Linked DNA regions of Arabidopsis thaliana. The protein of the gene in region 2 interacts with the protein of the main gene of each other region in a pairwise test. Each region holds a gene or a part of one and is shown on either strand. Other genes may lie near its edges.

Evidence for each region. The genes of interacting proteins can lie anywhere in the genome.
Region 1: the proteins of HCF136 (region 2) and P5CS1 interact in a two-hybrid assay, tested with the Arabidopsis thaliana proteins (one large-scale study listed by BioGRID).

Annotation. Positions count from the first base shown.
Region 1 is NC_003071.7:16,597,664-16,605,358, reverse strand, and holds P5CS1 (delta1-pyrroline-5-carboxylate synthase 1), read left to right. Parts: upstream 1-2,039; 5' UTR 2,040-2,419; coding exon 2,420-2,479; intron 2,480-2,767; coding exon 2,768-2,839; intron 2,840-2,986; coding exon 2,987-3,090; intron 3,091-3,309; coding exon 3,310-3,412; intron 3,413-3,492; coding exon 3,493-3,654; intron 3,655-3,758; coding exon 3,759-4,036; intron 4,037-4,133; coding exon 4,134-4,284; intron 4,285-4,385; coding exon 4,386-4,550; intron 4,551-4,662; coding exon 4,663-4,740; intron 4,741-4,873; coding exon 4,874-4,963; intron 4,964-5,042; coding exon 5,043-5,129; intron 5,130-5,211; coding exon 5,212-5,298; intron 5,299-5,386; coding exon 5,387-5,483; intron 5,484-5,568; coding exon 5,569-5,672; intron 5,673-5,768; coding exon 5,769-5,844; intron 5,845-6,025; coding exon 6,026-6,176; intron 6,177-6,274; coding exon 6,275-6,343; intron 6,344-6,428; coding exon 6,429-6,495; intron 6,496-6,587; coding exon 6,588-6,658; intron 6,659-6,761; and 3 more. Other genes in the region: AT2G39795 (Mitochondrial glycoprotein family protein), read right to left, coding at 7,331-7,490, 7,594-7,695. UniProt on the Arabidopsis thaliana protein: P5CS plays a key role in proline biosynthesis, leading to osmoregulation in plants.
Region 2 is NC_003076.8:7,776,456-7,781,443, reverse strand, and holds HCF136 (photosystem II stability/assembly factor, chloroplast (HCF136)), read right to left. Parts: upstream 3,428-4,988; 5' UTR 3,360-3,427; coding exon 2,960-3,359; intron 2,871-2,959; coding exon 2,635-2,870; intron 2,543-2,634; coding exon 2,412-2,542; intron 2,300-2,411; coding exon 2,167-2,299; intron 1,899-2,166; coding exon 1,776-1,898; intron 1,481-1,775; coding exon 1,406-1,480; intron 1,321-1,405; coding exon 1,205-1,320; intron 1,048-1,204; coding exon 981-1,047; 3' UTR 537-980; downstream 1-536. UniProt on the Arabidopsis thaliana protein: Essential for photosystem II (PSII) biogenesis; required for assembly of an early intermediate in PSII assembly that includes D2 (psbD) and cytochrome b559. Has been suggested to be required for chlorophyll a binding.

The DNA.
Region 1 (7,695 bases), on a different chromosome or scaffold from region 2:
CTCACTTACTTCTCCATTATCGTTTTATGTACCCTTTTTTTTACGTACCAATCAAAATCGCATCTTTCTTTTCAAATATAATTATGTATATATACGCATGTGCAGCTGCTGCGTGTCTATGCATACTTGAGTCTAAATAACTATCCCTGACTATGATATGTCGTTGGTTACGAATGTGATCTTTAGTTAAAATAACAAGAATAATATCACACAGACAAAAACAAATAAGTGCATATTATTTCAACAAGATTGGAGTGGGTGGGCCTAAAGGCTTAAAAAAATAGAGCACATGCACAGAGGACCATTGATTCCCCAGAGACAATCAGACATCTGAGACCCTAATCGCATCAAGCCGCGTGCCCTTCTTCCATTAACTAATTTTGTGTGTTTGTTTTGGCTTAAACCTGAGAATTACATTGATTACTTTATTTGTTTCATTTTCTCCATGAAGGAGATAAAAAGAGTAAAAATTAGAGATTGATGAAAACTGAAAAAGAAACTGAAGTCGGTAAGATAGGTGTTGGAACTTGGAATAATGGCTTGGCTTTGAACAAAACGCATGCACCATTCATTGCCTTCAAGTTTTTTGCAATTAGCTTTGTTTTTGTTTTTGTTTTTGTTTTTGGGAGAGGTTCTAATGACCAAGAATCAAGAGCGTTGTCTAAAATCTAAACCATATGATACGGTTTTTAATATTCTCATGCATTAAAATGTACTATTTCTATATATGATCTTATATACCCAACATCTTGGAATTAATAGTTTGATTCGTTATCATTTGAAGAAGCTCTCAACAGCTTCAAAAAGCGAAATGTAGCATCATGAAGCGGTATCCAATTTCAAGAAGCTACCAGTAGCTTGTGGAAGTTTTCAAGAAGTTTTCCGGAAGATCCAACGATTGTGGAAGCCCCTCATAGTTTTTGGAAGTTTTCAATGATATTAGCAGCGTTGAGCGTGGCATGGCTAGACAATGTAAGAGATTTGATTTGCAACACATTTGATGTATTTTTTTACTTTTGAGTTACAATTGTAATGTATTATTGATTTTGCCCAGTTATGATTTATAAACCCTACAATTTAGTATCAAAGTTTTTATTTAAAATTCTGAATCTGACATTAATGATATCTGGCTCATTTACAGAGCCAATGAGATGGATGATGTTCGAAACTGGATTGGCCATTATTTATCTTTTTTTTATCTGGAGAATCTCGAGGTTGGCACAAACATTATCATATTAGCCTTTAGAAATTGGATTGGCTAATCACACATTTATATATATTCTTACCAAAATAAATCACCTCTCCCGTAATTGAAAAATATCTAAATACTGTAAGTCTGAAAAAATTCACAAGGGTTCGAAGAAAGAAGGAAATATCTAAGCATCATTAATAAACTATCTGTAACCTGAGGGAAAATCATTTCATGTTGAAATATGTGGATTTGGAAGTTTTATAATCTATCTGAATTTGTGAAATTTGATAACAAGTAAGATTTGTTTCTTAACACAAATCTAAAATTTGTTTTCTAATTAGGTTTGAGAGAGAGAGAGAAAGAAACGCTTTGTATGATACACATCTAGGCTATGAATGAAGGCAGCGGACAAAGCGGTCTAATTTGTCTGCGGTTTAGTCCATCTCATTTTTGGGGTGGACAATAAACCGCTGCGGACCAAGTTTATTTGTATGTAAAAACGGTCCGCAGATGGTCCGCAACGATTTTCTTCTATTTTTTTAAGTCCAGACCACTGCGGACTATAATTGATGAATGATAAATAAAAAACGGTCTGATCCGTTGACGGTTTTGTCCGCCCCAACCGCCATAACCATTCAAACCCCTAATTATTTCATCAGATAACATTATACACTAATAATCATTGCACTCAAATATGTCACACAATCATATAATAAAATAATAACAATGATTAAAATGAAAAAATTGTTGTGGCGCCGCATAAAATAGAAATCGTGAGAGACGACGTCATCTAAAAATTGCCTTGCTGTCCACTTTTCACTTTGTCCTCTCTTCTCATCTCCGTTCACTTCCACGGCGTTTCCTCAGCCGCCGATTTTATTTATTTCCCAAAATACCCATCACCTATAGCGCCACAATCCTCTACATCACACCCTAATCTCATTACCATACACCACCCAACGAACACGCGCCACTTCATTTGTTAGTATCTAAAATACCAAACCTACCCTTAGTTCCACACGTGGCGTTTCCTGGTTTGATAACAGAGCCTGAGTCTCTGGTGTCGCTGGTGTTTATAAACCCCTTCATATCTTCCTTGGTGATCTCCACCTTTCCCTCACCTGATATTTATTTTCTTACCTTAAATACGACGGTGCTTCACTGAGTCCGACTCAGTTAACTCGTTCCTCTCTCTGTGTGTGGTTTTGGTAGACGACGACGACGATAATGGAGGAGCTAGATCGTTCACGTGCTTTTGCCAGAGACGTCAAACGTATCGTCGTTAAGGTTCGTTGAGATACGTTCGCATTTTCAGATTTTGTTGTTGATGATTAGATTCTTAATTTGTGATAATGTGGAAATGAATATTATGTAATTTAAGTGCATCTAAACTCTTTGTTTATTGAATTCGTGAATCTGAATATATTTTCTAATCCCAGAAACTAAAACTTCTCGTATGAATCTTAATTTGCATGTCATTAGAGACGAATGAATAATCAGAATATTCGAGGGATTTTTTTTCTGTTTGGTGATTAAAATTTTGGATTTTTGTTTATATTATGTAAAAAAAAAAAGGTTGGGACAGCAGTTGTTACTGGAAAAGGTGGAAGATTGGCTCTTGGTCGTTTAGGAGCACTGTGTGAACAGGTAATTGTCAAATTTTAATAATCTCCTTTTTGTATTGTGTTTATAAAAAAGTGTAAAGGTTTCATTTTTTTTCACGAAAGACATGTGAAATTATTCATGCGTAGTGGCAACTTTAATTTGTAAAAAAATATATATATATAATGTCAGCTTGCGGAATTAAACTCGGATGGATTTGAGGTGATATTGGTGTCATCTGGTGCGGTTGGTCTTGGCAGGCAAAGGCTTCGTTATCGACAATTAGTCAATAGCAGGTTAAAGCTTAATGGCTACACTTCATTATTAATCCCTTTCCCTTATAACAACATTTGGAAACAAAAAAAAAAGGGTGATGATGGATGGACCATTTTGGCTTATGTTTTTATTGCTCAATAACAGTGACATGTGTTTATGTGTGTTATGATTTAAAAGTTTTGTTTTTTTTTGCTGATGGATTTGTTTTTTTTCTTTTTTTTTGTTAATGGCTTTTGCAGCTTTGCGGATCTTCAGAAGCCTCAGACTGAACTTGATGGGAAGGCTTGTGCTGGTGTTGGACAAAGCAGTCTTATGGCTTACTATGAGACTATGTTTGACCAGGTGATTTTTCCTTTGTTATCGAATTCTAGATTATTGTGTAAGACATCCAAATATTGATGCTGTTGTTTTTCTTTGGTTAGCTTGATGTGACGGCAGCTCAACTTCTGGTGAATGACAGTAGTTTTAGAGACAAGGATTTCAGGAAGCAACTTAATGAAACTGTCAAGTCTATGCTTGATTTGAGGGTTATTCCAATTTTCAATGAGAATGATGCTATTAGCACCCGAAGAGCCCCATATCAGGTTTGTCCCTTTTGACATGAACTTTTCTACACACTCTGAGATGTGAGGGATTCTTTGAATCTCGTAGTCTAATGTTCAGCTTCACTGGATCTTGATATATGCAGGATTCTTCTGGTATTTTCTGGGATAACGATAGCTTAGCTGCTCTACTGGCGTTGGAACTGAAAGCTGATCTTCTGATTCTTCTGAGCGATGTTGAAGGTCTTTACACAGGCCCTCCAAGTGATCCTAACTCAAAGTTGATCCACACTTTTGTTAAAGAAAAACATCAAGATGAGATTACATTCGGCGACAAATCAAGATTAGGGAGAGGGGGTATGACTGCAAAAGTCAAAGCTGCAGTCAATGCAGCTTATGCTGGGATTCCTGTCATCATAACCAGGTGAGGAACCTTCTAAGCTCACCATGCATAATGATAGGGTGATATGCTTGTTCAAATTTGGTTAGATGGTATATTGATATCTTTCTTGCTTCTGAAGTGGGTATTCAGCTGAGAACATAGATAAAGTCCTCAGAGGACTACGTGTTGGAACCTTGTTTCATCAAGATGCTCGTTTATGGGCTCCGATCACAGATTCTAATGCTCGTGACATGGCAGTTGCTGCGAGGGAAAGTTCCAGAAAGCTTCAGGTAATTGTGACTTATGCATGGCTTTCTTTCATGTTCGTAACGTCAAAAACCATTCTTGCTCGGCATAGAGTTACTTAACTTTTTTTTACATTTTGCTATAGGCCTTATCTTCGGAAGACAGGAAAAAAATTCTGCTTGATATTGCCGATGCCCTTGAAGCAAATGTTACTACAATCAAAGCTGAGAATGAGTTAGATGTAGCTTCTGCACAAGAGGCTGGGTTGGAAGAGTCAATGGTGGCTCGCTTAGTTATGACACCTGGAAAGGTAAGAAAGTATTCATGGCCATAGATAGTTGCTTTTTGTTGCTATGGCTTGGGCAAACATATTGTGCCAATGTAACCTCTCCTTATTATGTTTCTTATTTTGTGCTTGATAGATCTCGAGCCTTGCAGCTTCAGTTCGTAAGCTAGCTGATATGGAAGATCCAATCGGCCGTGTTTTAAAGAAAACAGAGGTGATCAGAGGACAATTGTTACCATATAGTTAATTTACATACTCTTGAGTTAAATAAGGGATATGACTATCCTCCTAGTTGACATACAATAGTTGTTTATGCTATTTGTTCTTTGTGGCAATTCCTTTTACAGGTGGCAGATGGTCTTGTCTTAGAGAAGACCTCATCACCATTAGGCGTACTTCTGATTGTTTTTGAATCCCGACCTGATGCACTTGTACAGGTATGTTAATAGTCAAAATTCATTTCCCTTCTTAATATGTGAATTTCCTAAAGCTGTGCTTTATCCACAAACCAAACAGATAGCTTCACTTGCCATCCGTAGTGGAAATGGTCTTCTGCTGAAGGGTGGAAAGGAGGCCCGGCGATCAAATGCTATCTTACACAAGGTACCATTGCCTCAGATTTCATATCATTATTTGCCTCAAAATTTATCACTACAGCTCTTTTAAGTTCATGGTAAATTTCTAGGTGATCACTGATGCAATTCCAGAGACTGTTGGGGGTAAACTCATTGGACTTGTGACTTCAAGAGAAGAGATTCCTGATTTGCTTAAGGTAAGAACAGATTTACAAGCTAGGAGCTGCAACAGTTCTTTTGTATCTTTTGTTAAACTGGAACCCACCATTTGCATTTGTGTTACAGCTTGATGACGTTATCGATCTTGTGATCCCAAGAGGAAGCAACAAGCTTGTTACTCAGATAAAAAATACTACAAAAATCCCTGTGCTAGGTCATGCTGGTATGGTTGCAAGTTTGTTTTTTCCAGAAGATTCTTTACTTGGATTGTGCTAGAGTGTGACGATGGCTTAATTGTGTACTTGCAGATGGAATCTGTCATGTATATGTCGACAAGGCTTGTGATACGGATATGGCAAAGCGCATAGTTTCTGATGCAAAGTTGGACTATCCAGCAGCCTGTAATGCGATGGTAAGAGAACTTTTTACCTTCCATCGAGATTTAATTAATACAGTGGGAGATTCTAAAGTTCAACTGACTCATTTCATCTTCTCTCGTCTCTTTCAGGAAACCCTTCTTGTGCATAAGGATCTAGAGCAGAATGCTGTGCTTAATGAGCTTATTTTTGCTCTGCAGAGCAATGGTACGTCATAAATGGCCCAATCATTTGTTGGTCTATCTTAACCATTTATTTGACCTCTTGTTACCTTCCATCTGGATGTCTCATAGATATACATGTAGCCTGTTTGATTATAAATATTGAATGGTCATCTCATGAAAACATTTCTAGAGTGGCATAACTCATGAGATATATTAAACTACAGGAGTCACTTTGTATGGTGGACCAAGGGCAAGTAAGATACTGAACATACCAGAAGCACGGTCATTCAACCATGAGTACTGTGCCAAGGCTTGCACTGTTGAAGTTGTAGAAGACGTTTATGGTGCTATAGATCACATTCACCGACATGGGAGGTAGAAACTCGACATAACAGGCATTGACTTTAGAAATTCTTTGCATATGTAGTGGAAATGTTCACTCGTTATCTTGTCTTGTATGTTGTTACGAGCAGTGCACACACAGACTGCATTGTGACAGAGGATCACGAAGTTGCAGAGCTATTCCTTCGCCAAGTGGATAGGTAAAGTACTGAATCTTTAACTTGCTTATTATCTGTCTTTGATTTTTCTTGGAAACTGACTGTAAGATGTTGCGACCTTGAACAGCGCTGCTGTGTTCCACAACGCCAGCACAAGATTCTCAGATGGTTTCCGATTTGGACTTGGTGCAGAGGTAAGTCAGAGACATACACATAAGTCTATAGATTAAAAACAAATAAAAAGAGGAAGAGTGAGTGATAAAAAAGTATTGGTTGTGGTATATAGGTGGGGGTAAGCACGGGCAGGATCCATGCTCGTGGTCCAGTCGGGGTCGAAGGATTACTTACAACGAGATGGTACAATTTTAGTTACTCAAAGCACCATTGTTATGTCAATAAAGACCCACAATAAGCCTTTTTTCCTATGCTTCTTTTAATTTTCATGGTGAAATGGTTGCAGGATAATGAGAGGAAAAGGACAAGTTGTCGACGGAGACAATGGAATTGTTTACACCCATCAGGACATTCCCATCCAAGCTTAAACAAGACTTCCGAGTGTGTGTTTGTGTATTTGGTTGAGACTTGAGGAGAGACACAGAGGAGGATGGGCTTTTTTGTTTCCTCTCTGCTTAGTACTCATATCCTATCATTATTATTATTACTACTACTTATTATTGAAACCCTCGCTTATGTAGTGGTTTTGATTTAGGGTTAGGATTGCACCAAAAATAAGATCCACTTTACCACTTAGTCTTGCTCATAAGTACGATGAAGAACATTTAATTAGCTTCTCTTCTTGTCATTGTAAGCTACCTACACATTTCTGATCTTTATCAAGATACTACTACTTTTCATTTCGCTTATCTATAAATATATTTCGATTTGCATTGGAAATCACAAGTTGAATCAGAACTGGAAACTCTTAACCATAAATTCTCAAAGATTGTGCTACATTTGAAAGCTAACAATGAACACAAGAAAAGAACCTCACAATCTCATTCTTAGGTACTTAGCTATCAACCTAACGTTTCACTGTTCCATGAACTCCTTAACATTCTTCAACCATAAAAAGTACTCTCGGTTCACTTTCCTCGTCATGTACTCGTGCAGGAAATTCGTCGTGCTAGCTTTCACTCCTCTGATCTCCAAAAACTTGTAGAACGTCTTCTTCAGATTCTCGTCCAAGTCTCTGCAAAAAGCGATGAAACACAAACCAACATTATAACCTCTCTGTTCATCATGCCTATCTCTATACAACCTTACACTTGCAATTATTATTCACAAAGGCTTACTCAAAATCAGGCCCTTCATTAGCCAGTTGATCCTCCAAAGAGTCCCCAGGATGTTTCACAGATAAAGCATCTATAGCAATCTCATCAGGAAAAGCCATACAG
Region 2 (4,988 bases):
CTGATCAAAAATTCTCGGATTCCGGTAAAATAGAAGAGGAAAAGGGGAAAAAGCGAAAACGAGAAACGAGGGAGAGACGTTGAGAGATTGAACAAGAGAGGTGAAAACTCGTGGAGTGAAATGGAAGGAAATTTTCTCGTAGATTCAATGTGAACTTTTTCTCGCCGGATTTACCGGGAAAAAAACGAACGAGAGATCTCTTCTCCGGTTCTCCCTCTCGTCGCCACCGGAAAACGACACACTATTATATATTTTTCTTTTTTCGAAGAATAGAATTAATTATTATTAATGTTCAAAACAAAAACCGCGTTACAGCTTATCCATAACGAAAGCAAAAAAGAAAAATGATCAGATGACAAAAAAGAAAAGAAAAAAAAGTTATTCAAAAATAAAATAAAAATAATATTAGCAAACTAAACCAGTTTAAGTTTCATTAGGTTCAATTAGGTTCAACTGCGGATAAAGTGCAGTGCAGTTCAAATAATAACAAAAACATATATATGCAAAAACATTCGTTACTATTTGAACCGCACCGCATTGTTCGGTTCAGTCACCGTTCCACGGACAACAACCCACCGCATACCAAATTTATTTATATGTAGTAATTGACAATTTTTAAATAGTAAATAAAAAGCGGTCTAATCCACAAACGGATTTATCAATATATGTTTCTCTTATGAATTGACAATAAAGTGAGTAATAAAATCTCTGGCGAAGATTTCTTGTCATCTTTCTTGGTTGCCTACACAATGAAATTTCTTGGCTGAAAATAGGTTATAAACATACATAGATGAGATCAAATCCAACTCCAACTAACAGTGAGAAACAAAGCTTTTCAGAAGAAACACAAAATTATATATATTTTGTGAAGGGAATGTATACAATAGTGTAATGTAGTATTAAAACGCAGTTAAAGGCTTTACAGAGAAGGATTGAAACATAACCATTTCAATTTAACCTCTTTTTTATTTTTAAATTCTTCAGCCAACATATCGGAGCAAGACTCCATCGTTGCCAAGCACAAATCCTTTCTTGTCATCCACAAATCTGCAACAAAAAACAGACAGGAATTGAGAACTGATTAGTTTGTTCGTTTATGCTAAAGTATTTGAGATTTGAGATGAGATGAGATGGGTGGGAACAATGATGGTTCCCAATGATGGTATTGAAGGAGTGTGTTTTGATGTTTGAGTTAGAGACTTACTTGACTGCGTATAGGTTAGCTGCGATATTATCAGCAGCTTTGTCACGGTTCCATGATTTGCCTCCATTTCTTGTTCTCAGTAGTATGCCACTGCCTCCTGCTGCCCATGCTTCTTCCTGCAATACCCAAAAAAAAAAAAAAATGGTGTAAAGATCGGAGCAGATTCAGAGTTTTGAGTGATCATCGTGGAAACTCATTTACCTCTGAGCGATATCCAACATCTAGAATGCCAAAGCCACGGCTTTGTACTGGAACTTCTTCAAACTCCTCTGTAATCTGAGCAATTATAACAGAGGAGATCAAAATCAGATGCAGTTGGAAGTTGAAACATTGGAAGAGAATTTAAATCACAAGGAAACAGTTTTTTTATTTTATTTTCCTTGTTATTAGTCCAGGGAATAGCAGATAACAAAAGAAAATTGTGTTTCTTAGTTCATGGCTAGATTTGGTTTCATCCTCTAAGTGGCAAAAGAACCCAGAAACTCGCAAGTAAATACCAAAACGAGAAGAAAAGGAAATTTTCAGAGAATAAAACTGCAAGAAGTGAGGAGAGTCTTGCTGCTGTACTTACCCCAGTACCTTTGCTAAGATAAAGTCCTCCACCACGAACAAGAAGCCAAAGACCACCATCAGCTCTCCATCCCATGTTCTGAATTCTTCTAGCAACAGCTCTATTGTGTGGTTGCCAGTAAGGCTGCAATATACCAATACTATGGTGAATGACAGTCTAAAGAGCACGCAAACCACACACAAGAACAAAGAGAGGGATTGGTAGTCCCTTGTAAGACACATAATACCGTTTACTTAGACAAAGTACTTTTTAATCAAAATCAAAATCAGCAATAAGACTGAGCCTAAGCAAGTGCTAAAACTTCACCTAGCTATGTCATAAAAAGGACTAAGAGTTCAAAAGCAAACCACAAGTATAAATGTATTTCTTCATAGCCTTAATTGAGTCTCACCTGCCCAGGCTCCCATGTCAGAAAGAAGTTACCACGGCTCGAAACAGCGACATATCTTCCATCAGGTGAACGATTAACAGCACTGAAAGTTCCCGTGTAGTAACTAGCACCACTGATTCCACTGGATACTGTTCTGCAAGACCATAGGAAATACTGAATTAAGGTCTACTCTTTGATCTCTATTGAATCTGGATGGAAAAGACAATGCCAATTCCCTAGTATAAACCAAAGAGAGGGTAACGAACCTGTTCAAGGTAGCTGAAACAGTTTCCTGAATAGCAGCTTTCCAGTTATATCCCCTGTTTGAAGTAACATAAATAGCACCTTCATCAGTAACCATCTCTGCACTCTTATCTTCTGTCGCTTTTATAAACACCTACAACAACATTTGTAACAAACACATTCTCATAAACAAAAACAACAACAATAGAAATCTCTGAAAACACCAGAAGAAACAAGATATAATACCATATCTCCAGGAAGCTGAGAACTTAGAGGAATCCTATCCCAATTCTCTCCAGCATCAGCAGTGTACAATAAAATCGCAGGTTTGCCAATAATCCATCCTTCTTTGCCTTTAAAGCTAATCGAATTGAATCTATAATTGAAATCTTCTTCTTCAGCTGAAGGAATCGAACGTGGATTCCAAGTGCTTCCACCATCTTTAGTCTCTAACAAAGTCTGTCTCGTTCCAAGTAAAAACCCTAATTGACATTTCAAGCAAGAATCAGTAAGTAAAACAATTTCGAACTTAAGAACGGAAAATTAAAGAAGAAGAAGAAGGAGTAATTACCTCGGCTAGGTTCGTCGGGGACGAAAGCAATGTCGAGAAGAACAACACCGGGATCGATTGGGAGAAACACTCTTTCCCATTCGGATAACTGTTCATCAGCTCTCGCTGGTCCAACAATGGAAGAAAGCGAGAGTGATACAGCTGCCGATTGGTACAGAAGCTCCCGCCGACTGAAAGATAAGGATGAAGAGGACGATGATGGTGATGGAGATGGAGGAGGAGAAGATGAGGCTTTAGGGATTAGGCGATGAGAAATGCGTTGAGAGAGGAATCGAGGAGAAACAGAGGGCTTGAAGAGAAGATAACCGTCGCAGAGTTGCAGAGACGCCATTGATGTGTGTAAATGTTCTTCGATCTCTCTCACTCTCTTCTCTTTCTCTCTCCCGCCTCGAGAATACATATCCTTTTGCTGTGGTTATCTAACGTCTACGTAGTGTACACGTGTCGTTTTATTATTGGTGTAATTGTTTCTAACAATCATATTTTAATTTACCTTTACTTCCAAGTTTTGAGTATATAAACTCAAATGTAATTATTTTCACGTTGATAGGGTTTTCTCTCTCTTCTCTCTCCTCATCTTTCAGAGAGTTTCAGCTTTTTTGGCCAGCAATGACTGGCTTTATCAGCAGTGTTTGGTCGGCTTCTACTCCGGCATCGCTGGCTTCCTTAGAAGCGTTGGCTGGCTCAGCTTCCGGCATCGACCGGCTACTTTTAGCGGTGGTGGCTGGCTTATCTCCCGAGAGCAAGATACCCTCTTTCTTGTTTCGTCGGGCTTTTCTCCGGCGTCTTTAGCCGGTTTTTTCTCCGGTTTTTTGACCGGATTTAGATTTGATTTGTTTTTTTTTTATCTTCTGCTTGTAGTTCAAAGATTGATGAACCCTAAGAGTTAAAAAGATGTTGATTGAAGAAGAAGAGGAAGAAAAAGAAAAAGAAGAAGAAGAAGATTTGCACTTCGTGGAGTCAAATTCTCGTCCAAGCTACAACTGAAATTTCGCCATTAATCTTTTGAGCGACGAGTGAGCTATGCCAATTAAACAAGTTTTCCGGTGTTTCGGCCGGAATTGAAGCTTCTGACGGCGACTCCCTTCTCTTCCAGTTCCTATGTGTCCTTCAAAATGTTTCCCACTGACACGTGTTTTCTATGCGGCGCACAACAATCATTTGTTCTCTTCCTTCAGTTTAGGGTTTATTCATTTGGGCTTTTGGGCTGTTTTTTTTTTTTTTCTTTGGGCTTGTTTATTTTAGTCTTTGTGAATTATTGGCCTGTTACTTTTGGCTCTATAATATCAATAAAACACACTTGTGACAAAAAAAAAAAAACTCAAATGTAATCATCTAAATTTACTAAAATATTTTCCTCCTTGATTTTCTTCCTTTCTCCCTGGTCATTCTCAAATTTTTAACTACTCAATCCTTTTGAGTCATACTTTCATCTTCATCATTTTCACTGTGATGAATCCATGTGACATTTTTTCCATTATCATACATAATCCAAAAGTCTCTCCTTTGCTAACATCTTTTTCTTTTAGCATTATATGCATCACTAAGAAAAGATAAGAAATAAAAGATTGAACGCTAAAGGTTCAGACATTCATCTTTGTCCGTAATTCATCTTGAATCGAGAAAGTAATAAGATGATTAAAATTAATCATTACAAAATTTGCACAATTCATAGTCTAGTAAATCTAAGTATGTCTACAAAGCTCTTATGAGTAGGAAGAACAAATCATACGAAGCAAGACTTGATATGACTCCAATGAACAGATTAAAAATCCAGAAAAATAGTTTGAAATAATTTACTTATTTATGATATGAAAAGGTTGCCAACTTAGTTTTAAATTATGAAAAGGAAATTCACAAAGGAATACAGTAAAACTTCTATAAATTAATAATGTCGGGAACGTGAAATTTTATTAATTTATAGAGATATTAATTTGTTGAATTATTAATTTATAGAGAGATTTGGTTAATTTGTAATTTTTTTTAACTTTCCTATATGAAAAGAAGTTTTATTTGTCATAACCAACAT